Linked DNA regions of Struthio camelus. The main gene of each other region encodes a partner of the protein of the gene in region 2 in a complex. Links are inferred from orthologs where the notes say so. Each region holds a gene or a part of one and is shown on either strand. Other genes may lie near its edges.

What was found.
Region 1: ARVCF (region 2) and PA2G4 share a complex: the UniProt entries of both Homo sapiens proteins name them as parts of the ribonucleoprotein complex. The link is inferred for Struthio camelus from reciprocal best matches to the Homo sapiens genes ARVCF and PA2G4.

Annotation. Positions count from the first base shown.
Region 1 is NC_090969.1:602,697-613,393, forward strand, and holds the start of PA2G4 (proliferation-associated protein 2G4), read right to left. Parts: upstream 4,575-10,697; 5' UTR 4,390-4,574; coding exon 4,302-4,389; intron 1,430-4,301; coding exon 1,301-1,429; intron 658-1,300; coding exon 552-657; intron 345-551; coding exon 275-344; intron 1-274. Other genes in the region: ERBB3 (receptor tyrosine-protein kinase erbB-3), read right to left, coding at 6,217-6,725, 7,969-8,248, 8,315-8,386, 9,006-9,161, 9,234-9,331, 9,794-9,940, 10,011-10,086, 10,424-10,579 and 1 more. UniProt on the Homo sapiens protein: May play a role in a ERBB3-regulated signal transduction pathway. Seems be involved in growth regulation. Acts a corepressor of the androgen receptor (AR) and is regulated by the ERBB3 ligand neuregulin-1/heregulin (HRG).
Region 2 is NC_090958.1:11,441,202-11,451,398, forward strand, and holds the start of ARVCF (splicing regulator ARVCF), read right to left. Parts: upstream 4,915-10,197; 5' UTR 4,733-4,914; intron 4,144-4,732; exon of another isoform or gene 4,071-4,143; intron 1-4,070. Other genes in the region: TANGO2 (transport and Golgi organization protein 2 homolog), read left to right, coding at 6,067-6,102. UniProt on the Homo sapiens protein: Contributes to the regulation of alternative splicing of pre-mRNAs.

The DNA.
Region 1 (10,697 bases), on a different chromosome or scaffold from region 2:
GTAACCTTGCAAAATTGTACATGTTGAAACAGTGCGTCATCTCGCGTTTTCCAGATGACTGAATAATTTTCAAAAAACCAGACCGTTTTCTTCCCGACACTGTTGTGACACCAGAGCTCAGGAGCCTTTGCAAAACTAAACAGAAACTTCTGTGACGCTCTACACTGCAGCCTTTGGGAACTAGCTTTTTGGGAACATCAGCTTTCTAATATCGCCCTCAGATTGCACTGAACGCAGCAGCTGTAAGACATACACCATTCCTTCAAAAACCTACCTTTGATGCATCTATGACAAAACTGTGTGCTACGTTCGCTATAAAACCATCAACGTGGACTCCCAAGTCACTGCAACACAAAGAGTTAATTACAGGTGAGGCCTCACAACGCAGGAAACTTGTGCGACTTCTAAAAGTATTAGCAGAGTCTCAGGCATGTTTCAAACGCTTTACTAATTAGCCAAGCCAAGGAAGGATTTAACACACCAAGTAGTATTAACGAGCGAAGCCCAGATGCTGACAGTAAATTCATGAGAAATATAACTAAGATGCTTACATTTTGACCAAGTCTCCGTCTTTGAGGATGTAATCTTGGTCACTCTTCAAGGGGGAGAAGTGACAGACACAGTTATTTACCGATATACTCGTTGGGAAGGCAATACCTATAAAGGGAAAAAGAAATATTCCATAAGTCTAGCAATCTCACACGCTGCACAGGCACAGACAGCAGCCCTGCCACTGTGGTTTGTCACTTAGGTTTTAGTCGTTTAAGCATCGTAAAACACTCCATCCATTACCTAAGGCTCTAGCCAAAAAGCCATAAGGAATCTAGCTTGCGGCAAGCTCCTACACTGGCCTTCTTTTTGTCCAGACAACCATCAAAACAAATACATCCAAGGCAGTAAGACACTTGCAAAAGGGACCTCAATTCTCCAGAACACAAATCACGGCGCTTTCAGTGACACACTCAAGTGTCACACAATTTCCATGGCAACTACAGACCAACTATAACCATATAGCAGGTCTTCCTGAAGAGAGGACGTTGTCCAAAGTAAGTCTCATTTCAATGTGAATGATTGGGTAAATCAAAATGGGAAGCTCAAGCTTATCAGTGATGCTTATGAACAGGGCAAGCAGGACGATTTGGATCAAAACTGGTTTTCTAGGAATGGTGAAGTATTTCTTACGCTAATTAGAGCAGAACTGTGCTTTCCATGCTGCTACTCATTCATGCCAGCCACCAAACAACACAACAGGACAAAAAATATCCTCATATTGAAAAAGTTTCTTTGGAACAGGCCTCACCTTTTTTCATTTCTTTTTCCTTCTTGAAAATTTTGCCAGTCTCTTCCATGATCATGGCATCTCCCTTTTCACACAAGCAGAGAACTGATGCTCCAGAGTTTGCTGCTTCAACCACTGCACGCAGGACCCCTTAATTCAAACAAAAAGCTGTTGAAGTACGTTCACCATAAACAGCCTTAAAACTAACAGCAACCCTCATCACACAGCCCCACGGTGAAAAAAGAAATATATCCATCTGTTTTCTAAAAAGGGACAAGACTGTTAGCTCAGCTTTTCACCAAGGACATAAGAGAAATCCCATTGTAATTTTTCGTTTTAAGAACTGACTTTCCGGGAACACTTTCACAGAAAACATGAGCAAGCAAACATACATTGGGATTTGCACAGGTGAAGTGCAGCAGTTTCAGACACCCATCTATACGCTCGCAGGTCTCTTAAACAAAGAGGCCAAGCAGAAACATCACTCTCCCACATTCTTTCCAGAGAAGTCAGAGCTTCAGAAACAGGTTTGAAAATTACTTGGGAGACAAAATACACAGCACATCAAAAGAGCAGGGGGCACTGTTGTGGACGTGTAGGACTATAACGTACAGATCAACAGAAAGACTTTGCTTGGCTCAAGAGCTGGCACCAGCACAGAACTAGCACAGCAAAGCCAGTTACATTAGCCTCTTTGCAGGAGCACGTTTTAAAGGTAACCCACGCTCCTCCTCTCAGTCACGAAGGCCAGGCAACACAAGCAGCTTACAGCATGCTTTCTGCCATCAGGAGCTTTACGTGCCTTGCTCCGCACTGGAGGTTAAAGAAAGCTTTGCTGCCTGTTTCCTGAATGTTGCTTGCATCTACTTTTGGACGTATTCTAGCTTTGTGCCTAGGAGTCTCATCAGCATTTTGATTACACCATAGCAGACAGCGTGCCTTATAGTATAAATGGGTAAAGGAATGTAAAAGCCACGGCTCGCGTTGAAATCCTGCAGGCTCACATTCATAAACACATTGCGATGGTATTCTAGGAGTAGCAGCCACGAAGGCCCAGGAGCTGCTGGAGCAAGCCACATACGTCTTGACTGCCTTTCTACCAGTCAGCAGGCCAGGAGCCAAGGCACTGCCTCTGTCACCGGCTGACTAGCTGCTATTCCCCTCTCTTCTTCCTCTATCAAACTGGATACAAGTCTTAAAGCTTATCCTCTAAAATGTTTTGGGATCCAGGGATAAAAGGTACACATGCAGTTTCTCCTCGCTCTGTGAGCGCACTGTTTTTACAAGAGGCTGTTTTGGAAGTGTCTCTATTTGCTGGGAGTTTCTGTTACCGATAGTGTGTGCTCTAGGTACTACAGCAATAAATACTTCTGAAGTGCTTAAGACATTTACAAGCAGATGGTTTTTCATAGTTTCTTTGACATAGAGTAAAAACCAAAAATCTTTCACCTGCATGATTGAATTCAATTTCAAATGACTTCAAGCAGTCATCTTTCCATGCGTCATAGATGGTTATGAATTCGGAATATTTTACAGTACAGATAAAACTGTGATAAAAAAGACATTTAGTGGATAGCAGGACACAGAGTTGAAAATAGAAAACGTCAAAACAAACACAGCAGAAAGATAAATGGAGAGCCGTGTTCATCAGAGCATTAGAATGAAACCAAAAAGCAGAGAGTGTAACAGCACTGACCAAGGAACATCTCTTAATTGTATTCTGTCCTTCCACAGGGCTTCATTTAGGAATTAAAAGCACTTTATGTCATTAAAGGCACGTCACACTGACAAGTACCCAAGACATTTTGAACTGGAAAGCCTTTTTGTCACAGTTCTGGATTTGATGTTCCCAAACACAGTCACAACACTACCAAGAGAGAAATGCTGCGATCAATCCACTTTTCCTCTCCGGGAACGGGGGTGTCCCCTCCGTGTAGCTAAACCTGTGGCATAACCTCTCTGCACCTTGCTGTTACATCCGGTTTGCCAAACAGCCAGTGAAAAACCAAAGAACCGACCTTCCTTCCCCAAGGGGGGGAACCTTTCCCCCCCGCCCCAGAGCAAAAAGGTATAGGGCCAGGAAAACACCAGCTAGCAACCCTTGTACCAACTAAAACATTACTGCAGCTTTCAAAAACCACGTCTTTCTCTGGAGCTGCATCCCAAGTTACTATGAAGAGCGATGACTTAAAAAGAAGCATTGGAGTCAGCAACAATTAGTGCGGCGTATACCACTACTGAAGCTGCTCCTGGAGCGGCGGGGACCTCATAAAACCGGTCCAGTTAGCTCTTTAAAACAGCTGTCACTTTTCTCGAGGGGGTTAACTAACCACCCTTAATGATACAGCAAAAACAAACGCTTAAAACAAAAACTAAAAAAGGGGAGGGGGGGGTGTTGGAATAACGCGAGGCGACCGAAGTTTGCAACACGCATAACACGTCTGACGAGCCCACGCCGAGCCCCCGCGCCCGGCTTGAGGCGGCTGCAGGCCCAGGAGCCGGCGGAAGAAAGGCGTTGAAGCCGCCGGCTTTTGGGTAAAAATAATAATAATAATAAAAAAGATGGGGGGGTGAAAGCGGCGGTGCGGCTTCCCGGGGACGTTGGCACAAAAGAAAGGATTTTTTTTTTTAAAAAAGGGGGCAGCCCCGACGTGGGGGGTGTGGGGGGGGGCAGGATGCGGGCAGCGGCGGCGCCGGCCCCACATGGCCGGGCCACGCGCCCGGCTGGCGGCGGGAGGGCGGGCGAGGCCGAGGGGCGCCGGGCCCGGCCCGGTCGCCGCCGCCGCACGTGGGGCGGGGAGGCCACGTGCGGGAGCGGCCGCCGCGTGGGCACCGGAGTGGGGGGGGGGGGCCTTCCTGGGCCGCCCCCCCCCCGCCGCTGTGGGTGGGTGTGTGTTGGGGGGGGGGTGTTAGGCCTCGCCGCCCACCCCGGGCCCCGGTGCATCCTCCCCCGCCTCCCGCCGCCACCGGGCAGGCCCGCCCCCCCCGCCCGCCCGCCTCACCGGCCGCGGCCCGCACTCACGGTTGGCGATGTCCCCCCCCATCTTGTACTTGGTCACCACCAGGTCCTCGGCGATGGTGAGCTCGGCCGCCTCCTCCTCGCCCGACATGGTCGGAGCCGCCTAGGCCCGGCCGCCGCCGCCGCCGCCCCCCTCCTCCTCCTCCTCCTCCTCCCTCCCGGCCGCCGCCGCCGCCGCCGCCGCCGCGCTGAGGAGACCCCGGGGAGCGCGAGCGAGAGAGCGCGAGCAGGGCAGGAGCGCGGGCTCCGCGCGGGGCACGCTGGGAAGCCGAGTCCCCGCCCCCCTCCCGCGCCGCCGCCGCCGCCGCCCGCGACTACAGCTCCCGGCGGGCCCCGCGCCCGCGCCCGCGCCGACTACAGCTCCCGGCGGGCCCCGCGGCTCTCTCGCGAGAGCGAGTGGGGAGGAGGCGGGGCGGCGCGGCCGGAAGTGGCGCGGAGGGCATTCTGGGAAGTGTAGTCTGGGGGGTGGCGGGTGGGAGGGCAGGGCGCCCCCCTGCGGTGTGGGGGGGGTTGTGGGGGGGAGTAGCGGAAGCCCCCCCCCCCCCCCCCGGCACGGCCGCTGCCCCCAGCCCCATGGCACTGGGCCCTCTGCCCCACACCGCCGGCCCCAGGCACTGCTGCCAGCCCCAGCCCCACGGCAGCCCCCTGCCCCACAGCACCAGCCCCTATCACTGCCCCAGCCCCATTGCGTCCCCCTGCCCCATGGCCCCAGCCCCATTACCTCCCCCTGCCCCACAGCCCCAGCCCCTGTCACTGCCCCCAGCCCCATTGTGTCCCCCTGCCCCATGGCCCCAGCCCCACTATCTCCCCCTGCCCCACAGCCCCAGCCCCTGTCACTGCCCCCAGCCCCATTGTGTCCCCCTGCCCCATGGCCCCAGCCCCACTACCTCCCCCTGCCCCACAGCCCCAGCCCCTGTCACTGCCCCCAGCCCCATTGCAGCCCCCTGCCCCACAGCACCAGCCCCTGTCACTACCCCCAGCCCCATTGCGTCCCCCTGCCCCATGGCCCCAGCCCCATTACCTCCCCCTGCCCCACAGCCCCAGCCCCTGTCACTGCCCCCAGCCCCATCGCAGCCCCCTGCCCCACAGCCCCAGCCCCATTGCCTCCCCCTGCCCCCATCCCCACCCCCCGCCCCACAGCCCTGGTCCCTGCCCCACGGCCCCTGCCCCACACAGGCGCCGGCCGTTCCTCGACTTCCCTTTGTCTTTATTTAGCTTTTAACAGACAGACGGGACCCTCGGCCCCACGGACGGGCAGGGGCACGCGGCGGCGGCACCGAGCCGGGGCGGGGGGCAGGCGGGCCCCACGGCGCCCCTCCGCCGTCCTCCGTCCCCGTCCCCCTCCAAAGCCTTCGCTAAAGAAGGGGAGACAATCGCAGGGGTTTTATGTTTTTGGCCCCGATTGCGGGGCTGCCGCCCCACCTACCCGCGGCCTCCGGAGGGTCGTTACCCGCGCCGGCGGCCCCTCATTAACGAGGAGCATCCCAAACCTGCGCGGCCAGCCTGCCACCGCTGCGTGGGGGGGTGCCGACATCCCCCCCAAACCTTCATCCCGGCTCCGGCAGGGAACGGGGACACCTGAAAACGACTTTGGCTTCCTTCTGGCCCAGAAATCCTGCCGATTCTGCCCAAAAGGCAGCCCCCACCCCGCCCCGGCTTCGCGCTTCCCGCAACAGCATCGGCTTTGCCGCCAAACCCCAGGAAAACGGGGCTTTCCCGCGGCCGGGCTCCGCCGGGAGCCGCCTGGGGAAACTGAGGCATGGAGCGGGGCCGCCCCGGGGAACGGGGGGGGGGGGGTCCGTCCACCGCGCTTCGGGCCCCCCCTTGGCCATCGGGCTCGTGCCCCGTGCCGGGCGCGCACGGGCTGGGGTGGGGGGCGAGCGGGGTGGGTTTTTTTTTGGGGGGGGGGGACGACCCCCTACGTCCGCTGGGCGTCCGCCTTGGCGAAGAGGCGGCTGTGCCAGTAGTCGGGGTTGTCGAAAGCGCAGTCCGAGGCCTCCAGGCTCCGCAGGGGCTTCATGAAGGGGGTCGGGGGGCCGGGGGGGCCGGGGCAGCGGGCCAGCCGGGGCGCCAGCACCGCCTCCATCTCCTCGTAGCCCTGCTCCTCGGCCGCCTCGCCGGGCCGCATGTCGGTGTAGCCGTCGTGCCGGGGGCCGGCCACGCTGCCCAGCGAGCGGCTCAGCCGCGGCTGCTTGTTCATGTACTCGTAGTCTTCCTCCTCCTCCTCTTCCTCCTCCTCCTCTTCCTCCCGGCGGCCGGGCGCGGGGGCCGCCGGGGCGCCCGGCTCCGAGCCCACCTCCATGTACTCGTAGCCCAGCTCCTCCAGGGAAGCCGGCCGGGCGCCGGGGGGGGCCCCGGGGCGCCGGTTCATGTACTCGTACTCCTCCTCCTCCTCCTCCGGCGCCGAGCCCCCGGCGGGCTCCGGCTCTGCGGGGCGTCGAGTGAGACGCCGGCTGGGTCGTCCCGCCCTGGAGCCTGCCCCAAAATGGCCCCCCCCCGCCCCGGGTTGTCCCCCTGCTCTGCTGGGACGGACCCGACCCCCCCCCAGCCCCATGGGGATGGGAGCCCCCCAGCACCAGTCCTGCAAGAACGGACCCCCCCCACACCCTGCATGCACAGACCCCCTCCGACCCTGCACTGATAGACTCCCCCCACCCTGCATGCACAGACACCCCCCCTGCACTGATGGACCCCCACCCTGCCATGACAGACCCCCATCCTGCATGCACGGGACCCCCACCCTGCAATGACGGAGCCCCCCCAGCAATGTCCCCCTGCCGTTCAATGATGGACCCCCCACCCTGTATGCACAGGACTCCCCACCCTGCACTGATGGACCCCTCCCCCCAACCCTGCATGCACAGGACTCCCCACCCTGCAATGGCAGACCCCCACCCTTGCATGCACGGGACCCCCCACCCTGCATGCACAGGACCCCATCCACCAATGACGGACCCCCCACCCTGCAACGATGGATTTCCCCCCAGCAATGATCCCCCCGCAATGATGGATTCTGCATGCACAGGACCCCCACCATGTAATGACAGACCCTCCCCACCCTGCATGCATGGGACCCCCCACCCTGCATCCACAGGACCCCCCATCCTGCAATGACGGACTCCCCACCCTGCAACGATGGACCCTGCATGTGCAGGACCCCCACCCTGCATTGATGGACCCCCCCGCCCTGCATGCACAGGACCCCTATCCTCCAGTGACGGACCCCCACCCTGCATGCATGGGACCCCCACCCTGCAATGATGGACCCCCGCCCTGCATGCACAGGACCCCTATCCTGCAATGACGGACCCCCACCCCGCATGCATGGGACCCCCACCCTGCAATGATGGACCCCCGCCCTGCATGCACAGGACCCCTATCCTGCAATGACGGACCCCCACCCCGCATGCATGGGACCCCCGCCCCGCAACGATGGACCCTGAATGCACAGGACCTCCATCCTGCAATGATGGACCTCCCAACCTGCATACACAGGACCCCTGTCCCGCAATGACGGACCCCCACCCTGCATGCACAGGACCCCCACCCTGCAATGATGGACCCCCACCCTGCATGCACAGGACCCCTGTCCTGCAGTGACGGACCCCCGCCCCGCAACGATGGACCCTGCATGCGCAGGACCCCCAGCCCTCGGCGCCGGCCCCCTCACCCCGGGCGGCGCAGTTGGGGGCCACGTAGCCGTTGGCGTCCTCCTCGCTGCCCTCGGTGCTGGGGGGTGGCGGGGGGAAGCTCTCGCGCTGCGACAGGTAGGCGCTGTCGCCCCGCGAGCGCAGGCTGCGGCAGAGGCTCCCCGAGAGCGACAGCCCCTCGGCCAGGTCCAGCTCCGACGCCGTGCCCCGGCCCTCCGACGACTCCGACACCGTCCGCCCCAGCGACTCCTGCCGGCTGCGCCGCGGCGGCCGGCCCCCGCCGCCCTGGGGGACACGGGGCTGACGGGGGGCTCGGCCGACCCGCCCCCCCCGCCGCCCCCCGCGCCCCCCGCCGCCCCGCGGTACCTGGCGGCCACCGCCGAGGCCGGGCTGGTTCATGGGGATGTAGCCGGCCGGGGGGCTCAGCAGGCTGGGGCTCTGCGGGGAGAGGCGGTGGGTGACGAGGCCGGCCGGGGGGGGACGGACGTGCCTGGGGCCTGGGACCCCCAAACCCTGCCCCGTGCTGTGCCCGGGACCCCCTGCCCCATACCCTGCCCCACACCGTGCCCAGGACCCCCTGCCCCATGCCATGCCCTGTGCTGTGCCCAGGACCCCCTGCCCCACACCGTGCCCAGGACCCCCTGCCCCATGCCATGCCCTGTGCTGTGCCCAGGACCCCCCTGCCCCAAACCCTGCCCCACACTGTGCCCGGGACCCCCTGCCCCACACCGTGCCCAGGACCCCCTGCCCCACACCGTGCCCAGGACCCCCTGCCCCATGCCATGCCCTGTGCTGTGCCCAGGACCCCCCTGCCCCAAACCCTGCCCCAAACCCTGCCCCACACCGTGCCTGGGACCCCCTGCCCCAAACCCTGTGCCATGCCCGGGACCCCCTGCCCCACACCATGCCTGGGACCCTGTGCCCCAAACCCTGCCCCACACCGTGCCTGGGACCCCCTGCCCCATGCCCTGCACCCTGCCCCATACCCAGCACCCCCTGCCCGGGATCCAGTCCCGGGGTGGCCAGACCCCCGGCAGGGAGCAGCGCGGGGTCTCACCCGGGCAGAGCTGCCCCGCGGCCGCGAGGGGTAGAGCCCGGCGGCGAGGCCGAAGGAGGCGTCCAGCTCCTCCTCCTCCAGCTCCAGCGTCTCCACCTCGTCCAGCTCCTTGTCGCTGAGGGTGGGGGGCTCGGCGGGCGGCGCGGCCCCGCTCTCCTGCCGCGGGAGGCCGCGTTAGGGGCTGCGGCCCCGGGGCCGGGGGGGGGGTTTGGGGGGGCCCGCGCTCACCTTGATCACCAGGTAGCGCGGCGGGTCGCGGGCCATGCGGGTGAACTCGTTCGCCAGCTCCTTGAAGGTGGGACGGATGTTCTCGTCGATCATCCAGCCTGCGGGCAGCGCGGCCGCTCAGCCCCGGCGCCGGCACCCCGCGGACCGAGCGAGCCGGGATGCGCCCTCGGGGGCTGAGCTGGGACTCAGCACCAAGCTGGGACCCTGGACACCGAGCCAGGACCCCAGGGACCCAGCCGGGACCCCGGGACGGAGCCGTGCTGTGCCCCTGGGATGGAGTCGTGCCGTGCCCTGGGGACCAAGCCATGCCGTGCCCCTGGGATGGGTCCAGGCTCCCGGGATGGGGCTATGTCCCTGGGATGGAGCCGTGTCCCCCCCGGGATGGAGCCACGTCCTCAGGATGGAGCCAGGCTCCCGGGGACGGAGCCATGCTCCCGGGATGGAGCCATGTCCCCTGGGATGGAGCTGTGTCCCCAGGATGGAGCCGTGTCCCCAGGGAGGGTGCCGTGTCCCCAGGACGGAGCCGTGTCCCCAGGACGGAGCCCTGTCCCCGCACTCACACTTCACCATGACCATGTAGACGTCGATGGTGCAGATCTGGGGCTGCGAGAGCCGCTCGCCCTTCTCCAGCAGGTCGGGCACCTCGGCGAGCCGGATCCCGGCGTAGGGCTCTGCCCCGAAGGTCATCATCTCCCAGAGCGTCACCCCTGCGGGGACAGGCGCCCGTGAGCCCCCGCGCGAGCGCCGTGGGGCCGGGGCGCCCGCGGCCGTGCTCACCGTAGCTCCAGACGTCGCTCTGGTGCGTGTACTTGCCGAAGTGGATGCTCTCCAGGGCCATCCACTTGATGGGCGTCTGCAAAGCAGGAGCCGCGTCGAGGGGCGCAGGGGGCCGGGGGCAGGGACAGGACCTGGGCTGGGGGTGCTGGGCCAGGGGGTGTCGGGGACCCGGAGCAGGCAGGGGACGCCCCGCGGCGCGGGGGGGGCGTCGGGGACCCGGAGCGGGCAGGGGACGCCCCGCGGCGCGGGGGGGGCGTCGGGGACCTGGAGCGGGCAGGGGACGCCCCGCGGCACGGGGGGGCGTCGGGGACACCCAGCAGGTAGGGGACATGGCACCCCGGGACACAGGGGGTGTCGGGGACCCAGGGTGGGGGGGGGACATGGCACCCCGGGGCCTGCCGGCGGGCGCCCACCTTGACCTCGTTATAGAAATACTTCTTGTCGTCGGGGTAGAGCAGGTCGGCGATGCCGAAATCGGCCACCTGGGCCTGGCTGGGCGACTTGAGCAGCACGTTGCGGGCGGCCAGGTTGCGGTGCACCATGCGGTGCTCCTCCAGGTAGTACATGCCCTGGGGCGGGGGGTCAGCGGGCCGGCGGGGGCTCGGGTGCCCCCCACCTGCCAACCTCCCCCCCCCCCGGGGACTCACCTTGGCCACCTGCACGCACCAGTTGAGCAGCAGCTGGGGG
Region 2 (10,197 bases):
AAGAGTCTGTTGGTAAGGCACTGGAATGGCCTATGACAGCAATAAGTAGATAAACAAATACTAAAAGTTAAATTGTGAAAGATGCCTTGACTATTTCCTTTTAACTGTTAGCCACCTTGAGATATCACGTAAGCAATGAAGCAGCAAAGAGATAACACTGGTTAGACAGCGAAATCTCAATTTCTCCCGGACCTACAGAATCATAAGCTAACAGATTACTGGCACATTGGCATACAGCTACATTGTAGCTCGTGTAAACCCTGTTGCAGTTCCCGAAATAAAATGCACGTGCAGCCAGATGCGGAAAAACCATAATGGGAAACAACGTAAACTGAGGCACGCACAGAAGATTTTGATACTACAGTCAAGCACCTTACAGAGCAAAGATCCTAAACTATCTAAAGATGCCATCTCTGTAGAGACTCAGCATACTGCATGCATTTCAAAAACAAACAAAAAAAACACCCACAGAACCATCTTTCCAGTGCAATAGAAACTGGAGAGTAAAGCACAGAAGCCCAGTCTTCCCATGTTTTCTTAATGAATCTTAATATCTTGTAATACTGCCACCAGCACTGTCACCAGAGTTAGTTTCATGCTACAGACACCAACACCCACATCACTCACTTATAACCAAAGACTGTCATCACTGATGACAGGAGTTTCTATCGTTATTGTTGATGATTATTGATTTCTGTAAAAGCTGTACAAAACATAGTACTATCAGTAAGAAGTATTAAAGAGTCTCTGCTTAGGAGGAGAAGCAATATTTTCCTTTGAAAAATACTTCTCTAATCCAATATCTTAAAATAATTCCGAATACCTCCCAATATTAGGTTTCTCCATAGCCTTTATGAGATTGTAGTAAAAGCTCTACTTTATATGGTCCCATTCTTCTCAATAATTATGTAACATCCAGTTTGTAGTTTCCATTTATTTGTAAGTAAATTAATAGCCAAAAAACATGATAAATTTATAGGATGGAAGATTTACTTCTGATCATACAGATACGGAAGGAGGGAGAGAATCTCTACAGGCTTCCCAAACCTACCTGGCCTCTAAAATGGGTGAGCCACCTCTTAAACTGACAATCATTTCTTTCCTGGGTCAACAAAATTTTGAGATCTCCGAAACCACAGTGAAGGACTGTGAGGACTTGCCCATCAGACTCTTAAACCACAATCAACCACTCTCATTTCAACAGCCGTTACACAACTGCTGGATGACAATTACTTTCTCTGGCTGCTCAACTGGAACCTGTGATCTACAATCCTAATTTTGCTCTTAAAAAATATACTCAATATTCAAAAATTCCTCAAGGTGTGTTCCTTAGCTAAGATTCATTATCTTCACAGAGAAGATGTTTGTTTCAATATCGGTATGCCTCAAGTAATGACAAATGTTAAGATATATTCAGTCACGTTCTTTGAACGCTGTAGCCTAGTGACTAGATATAGGCCTAACTAGCTAAACTGAAGTGATCTCTACGAGAGATTAAAATATTTAGGAATGTCACCCATACATATTTTCCTAATGGGTCTCTTGCACATTTTTAATTTCTAAGATTAACTGACATTCCAAAAGGGGCACGTATTTTGGTGGATAAAAATGTCAAACTGTACCGAAAAAACAATGGCAATCAATGAGTCTAATCAGGACTCTAAAACGATACTTTGTGTCGTGAGTGTGTATATAAATTAGTGATGAATAATAGACACTGTCCACTTACTACTAAATGATTAGCCATGCGTATACACCAAAATGCTACTTCTTGAAAATGTGACTGCCATAAGGCTGACTGCCAGACCTTCAAAAGGCTGGATCTTACTAAGTTGAGCCACCTGTTCTATAACACTGCAGAAAAATAGACACTCAAAAAGAGCAAGAGTCACTGAAATCAGCCAAGTTATTTGTCTAGGATACTACTTAAAAGGAACGTGGCCAGAGCTAACCCAGAAGAGCTAGAACCCTAGAACCTCAGCATATGGAACCAGAAGTAGCTTTGTGGTTTACTTTTGGTCGCCTGTGAAATGTGAGAGTAAGAGTGAAAGAACTAATGGGGGAAGAAAACTTGCGCCACAGTTTGTTGGGTTTGGCTTTCTTTTACACAAATTAGCTGAGAGATATCAAAAATATTGCAGTCAGTTCCTACTTTTTTCAAATGTCTGAGATATGTGGCTAACCACATTCAGGACACACATGGACCATACCCAATCAGGAATTTAAGAGAACAGTTGAGATCTCCTTGCTCATGTCCTTAACGCTTTAGCAACATCATGCCTTTATGCCCCTTTTCTGAAGGACATACAATGTTTGCCTAGTTCCACGTGTGTCCTAAGTGTTCTGTATTATGGAAAGAACACATTTTGTAAAAACATGGACACTTTAATTAAAGGAAAAAAAAAGGCTCAGTGCTAATTTCCAGGTGACTCATATAAAGTCAAAATACTGTAACTGAATCCAATGCATTTGAAACTCTTTTCCTGTGCATGTTGGTATAACCCTGGAGCTGACCTTTTTCTCTTTTTGTAGAGAGGGGCAAGAGAGTAAAAAATTTGACCTAACCTCCTGCTTGGAAGATTGCTTTGATGGCTACTAGTCACAGAACGCATTCACACTGGACAAGATACTGTCATATTTTGGTTATACTGGAAAGGCATAAGATAGATGTAGTAAACAAATGCCGTTACAGCTAAGCAAGAGACAACACTGGTGTCAATGATTTATACTCACACAATAAAATATTAAGAGCAACAAATTATAAATCTGGTAGTACAAGAAGTCTAACAGGCTTTCTCACAGTATATCAATTCAGACACTAAGTAAAATCCATCAAAAACACTGCAGAAATATAGTGTGTTGCATTACATAAAATCTGATACAGAAGCTCAGCTTTATATAACTGTTATATGCATGCAGATGGCCTTCAGGATAAAATATCATCCCTAAGCTGCGGTTTGAACAAAATTTAAAGTATAAGTAAAGGGAGGATTTCTGCCATTTCCAGTGCAGTGTCCTAACTAAATATAGGATGAATTTCTCTTTATTTCTAACTCCTATCAGTCCTTCCAATACTAAAGAATTGCTAAGAGTAAAATCCATTCAAAATCCCTGCAGTGAAGGAATGAAAATCAAAGGTGGGAACTGTTTTTCATCAATTATGTCTAAATATTAGATCAAATCTATAGTGACATTAATTGAATTTCAGTTATTCATGTTGAGAGCATCTACAGGATAAAAAAATAAAAAAAATAAGATCAGCAGAGTCAACTTTGCTACGATGACAACCAATGTCAGATAAAATACCATCTAAGCATCTCTGAACAATACACGAGGATAAACTATGCAGTGAAACTATGCGGTCAAACTGTATTGTTCCTCTAAACCTCGCCTTCTCAATACATTCCTCTAGCCAAGCAATGGAAAGATAAAACCATTTGCCTAATGGAGCGTATAATTTAAATATTTCAGACAAGCATTTACAGAGATGTTGCTTAAAATAAATTTAACACGCATCCATCCAAATATCTTGCATGCTGAGGAGTGTAGCATACCTCACAACTTATTTTTTCCTCTAGAAACTATGAACTATCCAGCCCTTTCAGTTACTTTAGTCATCATATATATGCTGTATTATTTCATATAACAAATCATCATTTATTCCAAAGCAGATTAAATATGAAACTGCAGTTATCTTTATTACACTGCCTTGTGATATTTCAAAGCCATCAGAATTTCAGGTTTCACTAGTGTGCCATGTAGTCCTCCAAAACGTTGTAAACAAGATGTTTAAACTCATAGAAGCTTAAAGGGGTGATGTACTTAATACAGGCTGCAGCATTTTAGCCATGGGAAGATACAATCAGTCAATGTCAATATTCTGTCATTCGGGATCATGATTTTTACCATAAATCATTCTCATTAATACAAAATAGGGGTTTTCCCCATAAACTTCTATCTAGTATTTTAAATATTACTAGCATCAAAACAAAATTCCTGCTTGCCTTGAAAATCAGCTTAGTTTTTTTTTTTTTACAATGCTAAGAATCCAATTTTGTATTTTGACCTACCTAAGGCACAAGAGTACACTGTAAAAAACGAAGCAGATGTAAGAATTCCCTCTTCCACGTTTTTAACACTTGCCTGTATAAGGGAGAAAGGGGTCTTTACTATTTGCATGCCGAAACTAGACATTTTAAAGAGTTCTTCAAGTTTTGCAAACATTAATTAGATTTTAATCATGCACAGCAGTACTTCAGGGAAAATGAAAAGAAAAAACAAGAAAAATTTACTTTGTCTGTTAAGACTGTAATAGGTTTAAACCTTTTCACGTTTGTGAAGAATAGGTTAGTTTTGTTTGCTCTTTGCTACAAAGAGACTCATCTCCTATGCATGCCACAAATAACCTGAGCAATGACTTCCCTACATGAGAAGAACTACCCGTCACATTGCAGGATTAACACAGACAATGTAGGTTTGTTTAGTGGTAGCATGCGTGTGTCGCTGGTGCATGTAATTTTAGCCATCCGTACATATCAACCTCTCGTTGCGTACCTCACAAAAAACCGAAGAGCGCTGTTAAAGCCTAAACGACAACATTTTGCAAACAAAGAAAGCTAGTATGCAATCGTGATGCAAAACCATCCCAAAGGTGGTTTACATCCTACGAGATCTCTCACAGAAAACAGCCCGGCAACCTCATTCATCCCCCCGAGCCCACCGCGCTGCTCACCATCTCCTCCGCCTGCTCCTAGTCCTCTGCCCTTATTTTCCTTGCTTCTGCTGGCTTCACGGTATCACAGGAGGCGGGTGTACAAAAAAGGAGGGGGGGGGAAAAACTCTTCAGTAAAACACTAGGCAATCGTTCAGCAGCACACCGACGAAACCGCTCGCCTTCCCCTCGCCCCTGCGAGGTGCCGCCGCCGGCTGCCGCCCTCCCGCCCCGGCGCGGTGCAGCGCGGCGCGGCCCGGCGGGTGCCCGGCTCCCGCGCCCGGCTGCCCCGGCCCCGCTACCGCCCCCCTGCCCGCCGAGGCAACATCGTCGACGGAGCCGGGCTGATTTTCCCCTCCCACCTCCACATTCCTCCCTATTTACAAAGGGTAGCCAAGACCATCTTTATCCAACGAGCGGGGGGGGGGGGGGGGGGCAAATCATTAACCCATTTTTTGCATTTACCTTTTTTTATTTAATTACTATTTTTAGCTGCACTCTAAAACCACGCGGGCGGTTTCCGCTCTCTACCAAGCACCCAAGCTTGCTGCAGGCCTGCCTCCGGGTCCCCGCTCCTGCGCCCCAGCCTGGCCGCTCGCCACCTCCTGAGGAGCGCGCTCCTCTCTACAGCCCCGAAGGCCACCCTCAAAAACACGACCAAGGGCGACGCTGAAAAACGGCATTAAAAAATTAACCGGCCGCGAAGTTTGCCCCGGCTGAGCCTTCCTCGAGGGAGGCCCACAGGGAGCGGGGGGGGGCGCGTTCCCCACTCGGGCCGCGCTGGTGGCCGCCTTTCCAACTCTTTTATTAAGCGGGCGCTAATCGTTCCTCAACATTCACGTTTGGCAGAAGTACTCAGGGAAGAGGCATCCTGGCCTGCCCTCCTCGGTCGCCACAGGGCCCGGCGCTGGGCCGCAGCGGGCGCCGGGGCCGCGACCACACGCCACCAACGCTCCCGCCGCCGGCCCCTGCCTCGCGCTGCCTGTCTGCAGCCGGCACACGAACCGACGCGCGGCTCCCGCGCCGCGAATTTTCCTATTGGGCAGTCCTCGCCGGCTGCGCCCAGCAACCGAACTCTCATTGGTGCCCTTCCGCTCCGCGCCGCGCCGCGGCCGGCCGCTCCGCGTGGCATTGGCCAGCGGCGCTGTCCGTCCGAGCGGCGCGGCCCGCCCCCTCCGCGGCGCGCGGGGCGGCACTGCGCGGGGCGCGGCACCTTCCCGCAGGCTGCGAAGGGCAGGAGCTGCGGGAGGCAAAGCCGCCTCCTGGCAGCAGAGACTCTCCGCGGCAGGGCGCCGACAGAGCAGCCTGCACGCGGCTGAGAAGGCCGCGCGGCTCTGCCGCTGCTGCCAGGATGGATGCCGCCCGCTCCCTCCAGGAGCCCTGCGCTGACGGTATGTTTTCATCAGAAGCAGCGGGGACCGTTGTGTCATCTAATTTGACTTGCGCGTCAACAGCACTAAACGCTCCAGCACACTAATACATAAGGCCCAGGGGCTTCAGTACAGCTATGAGAGTTCTGTTCTTAGGAGACTAAATTGTACTTTTTCCAGCTGTAGACTGGGAGATGCTGAGTGCAACTTAGGTCCAAAACGCTTGTTGACAGAGAACTAACTAACCCGGTGGACTGTGGACAGATAATTCTGGCCAGGGATCGCTGGTGGATTTGGCTAACTTAACCTTTTCACCCTTTGATCTCCGTGTTGAACCAAGGCTGAAAAGCACCTAACTTTTAGATAGCTTTTTCTTGTGCAGTGGTTTTTATGCATTGTGGTCAAGTCACCTCTCAGCCTTCTCTTTGATAAGTGGAATAACTTGAGCTTCCTAAGACCCTTCCTAAAACGCTGTTTTACATCTCGTCATCTCTCCCTTCATTATGTTTATTTTCCTCCTTTAAATTATTTCTAGTGTTTTCTCCTCCTCAGCTGTGGATGCCAGAAATGGCACAGTGTTCTAATGCTACTCTTAGCAGTGCTTGGACAAAGGCAATGTCACTCCCCTTTCTCTCTTGTATATTCCATATTTTATACATTACAGGATTACATCAGTCCAATTTACCGCAGTATTATCCTGAGAGGTCATGTTGAAACATTTATATATAGCGACAGCTAAATTCTTACTCTGAATTATTCCTTGCCAAGCTAGTAGCAATCCACTTGCATTCTTTATTTCCAGATGTATTTGCTTGCATTTTCCAATATTAGAATGAATTTTATTGGACTGGGATGATTTAATCAGGCACATCAGATGATTCTGTAACTAATCAGTCATGTGAATTATCCATTCATATACTAAGCTTTGTCATTTGCAAATTTTACTTGTAAGGATTTCACGTCACCATCTAGATAATTGATAGAGCTATTGGACACTACCAGCTCAAGAACTGATTTCTAGAAAGCTCTGCCTGGGTCACTGCTGTCTCCCCCTTATCAACTACAATTTGAGAGCTCTCAATGAAAAGATATTTAATCCATTTAAGGTGTGTTTTATGCATTCTATGTGACACATACATTCATTTACACACTTACAAGATAGAACAAGGTTTTTAAACAATGCCTATTTCTCTCTCAAATTTTGAGACCACGAAAAATTCTGCAAGCTTTTCTCCGAGCTTTTTCTCTGCTTTTTAGCTTTCTCCAGCAGAGGTTCTGCGCTCCTAGCTACTACCAGTCTCTTCACTAATGATAATTAAAATGGATACAGAACCATTGTCCAGTTGGGATTAGACTGTTTAAGTTTGATGGACAATGGAAGCTATACAGAGATCTCCAAAGATGGAGTCTAAAGAAGGACGATATTGACCAGGGTCTGTTAGGCAGAACAAAAAGTCAGGAAATAGAAGGAAGAATCTGAACGGCCACCAAATCCAGTATTCACAAATCCTTGTAGTGGTTTGCTTTTGTGAAGGATCCTAAAAAAACAAAGTTTTTTAATGACTCTGAAGTTATTCTAACTTCACACATACATTAAAAATAGGTTATTATGAGTAAAAACTAACAGCATTAAGTTTCAGGCCGACAGACAGTTTTATTTTTCCTCTCCCCAGGGACATAACTCCTACTGAAGATATGCAGACCTATGATAATCTGAGGATTTTTAATGGCACTAAGCATAGAAGTTAAATAATTTCTGGTCGCTGTGATAAGCCTATGCTGTGAGATATAGAGTGGTGTAACAGTTCCTTGACAGCGAAGAACTATTTATGCATTTAACATGCAGGCATTTCATCAATCAGAGATTAAGAGATTTGTATAATTTGTTTACTTCTGCAGTCAGATAACTGCTTTAAATAACAGCTCTGTAACTGAAAACATAAATCTATTTTTGCTTTATATGTATTGAGGTTGGTGTATATGTAGATAATAAATACAATCTATCATTGTGTTTCAAAAGCAATAGTACCAGTAATGATGATAATATACTTACCCAGCACATTCATTAGTAGATCTCAAAAGACCTTATGAAGGTCAATGTTATCATCCCCATGTTGAAGATGGAAAAAGTACTGAGATGACTTGCTCAATGTCATATGACAGACCAGTGGTAAAGCTAACAATTAACTTCAGGTTTTCTGAGTCTGAGATGAGAGTTTTTACCTAGCAAGCCACGTTACCTACTCATATAGCCCTGGGGAGGTCTTTTATTTGCATTAGTGTTACGTATCTTTTGTGTACTGTGTTTATTTTATATTATTGTTATAACCCAGAAGAGCAGTCAAGGCTTTTATCACTCTTTTTCCTTACAGAGTTTACCATAAAGAATTTTAAATTTATAGGCTCCACTGAAATTCTCTATTGCCACCTGTGAAAAAGTCAGAAATAAGGTTTGAAATCTTGTTTGAAAAACCTGTAAGTTAGCTGAGTCAGTATTTTCAGTGCGAAAGGACAAAGAGGTAGGGCTGGTCCAATCCCAGTTCAAATCTGTTCCATGTAAAATTACCAAAGGTTTATCAGTTCTGATCATGCTGCGCTTAATAACTGAAAGCAGAGCTGACTTTGTCACTCGTGTTTTCCTCCATCCTCAAAAAAGCTGCCCTGCTTCGATGACTCCATGGCCTTTCTGGTAGCTGTGCCTCTCCTGAGCGCAGTCCCCTGGACGCACACCCCATGCAGTGCCCTCGTTCCAGAAATGGTTCAGTAGCTAGATCCAAACTCACCCTGTCCTGGGCGTAACAGTCCTCAGCTACGTGAGCCCTCTGAAGCTCGGATCGGGCCTCTTGTCCCTTTGAGATTGTTACTTCACACCTTGAAACAAAGCACAGTGAGAGCAGGCCGGGGCAGCCGCACAGCGCCAGACGCCACCTCGGGCGCCCACTGTGGCGGGCAGGGACCCGGCGCCATGCCGCAAGGCAACGTCCTCTAAGCCCCCAGCACTGGCGGGCTCCAAACACCCCCACCGGCAGCTGTAGCGCCCCGTTCCTCCCCCCGCAGGCGACGCCAGGGACGTGGGGCCAGCACAGCCCGGGGGGGACGAAGGGCGCCCACGGCCCTCCACGGCCTTCCATGGCGCCTGGGGCAACTGGGCGAAGGAGGGGGAGGAGCCCAACGGACACCTGTGCGCGAGCAACCCTGGCAACAGCGTCTGAGCGACGGGCCAGCCAGCCAATGAAAGCTTGAGGGGGAGAGCTCTCCTCCAATAGCGCGCGGGGGTGGGGCGCCCGCAGCCAATAAGGGTGCGCGCCGCCCAGCGCCCCGAGGGGGCTTCCTGGAAGTCGGGTGATGTTCTGCGCGCCGCGCGCTGGGTGAGTACGGAGCGGCCGGGCGCGTGTCGCTGCCGCCTCAGGGGCTCCCGCCCTTCTGCCGCGGGGGGCCGCGGCTCCGCGCGTGGGCTCGGCGTCCCGCGGCCCGGCCCGGCCCTGCCCCTTCCTGGGCCGGGGGCCTCTCCTTCCCCGGGCCCCGTCCCCGGCCGCCCTCGCGGTTCGCGCCTCGGGCTCCCGAATAGCCTGGACTTCGCTACGGTGTCGCGAGTGAGGAGCCTGAAACCAGCCTCCCGGCGGCTGAGGCGCTCGTGTGGCTGACGGTGCCATTTTTAAACCTCCTTCCAGTTAGCTGGGTGAAGAGCACGATGGGTCAGGCTTCTCGGCTCTTCGGGGCCAGAGCCGTTAAGGCTGCGACGTCGTGGGCCCGGGGTGCCGTGCCGTGCCCTGAGCGGCCGGCCACGGCTCCGGTTTGCCCACCGTCGGGCCCTGGGTGCCCCGTCACCGAGCTCTGGGGTAGCCGCTTGCGGGGGTTGTGTGCCTCAGGTTGCCAAATGAAGCTTAAAGAAAATAGTTACTCTCGAGGAGGTTTTGCACAATAAGCTATTTTTTCTTCCACTGCATTTATGCAACAGCAGTTACTGGGTTCTTTTTAAGCAAATCCAGCATTACATGTTGGGACAGTACTTATTTTCTTTGGTTAAGCAATGGCCTTTGGTTAAGCAATATCAGCAGTGGCTAGCTGATATTTCTGTCACATGCAAGAGTTTGAAAAAGAGTTTGCAAGTGTTTG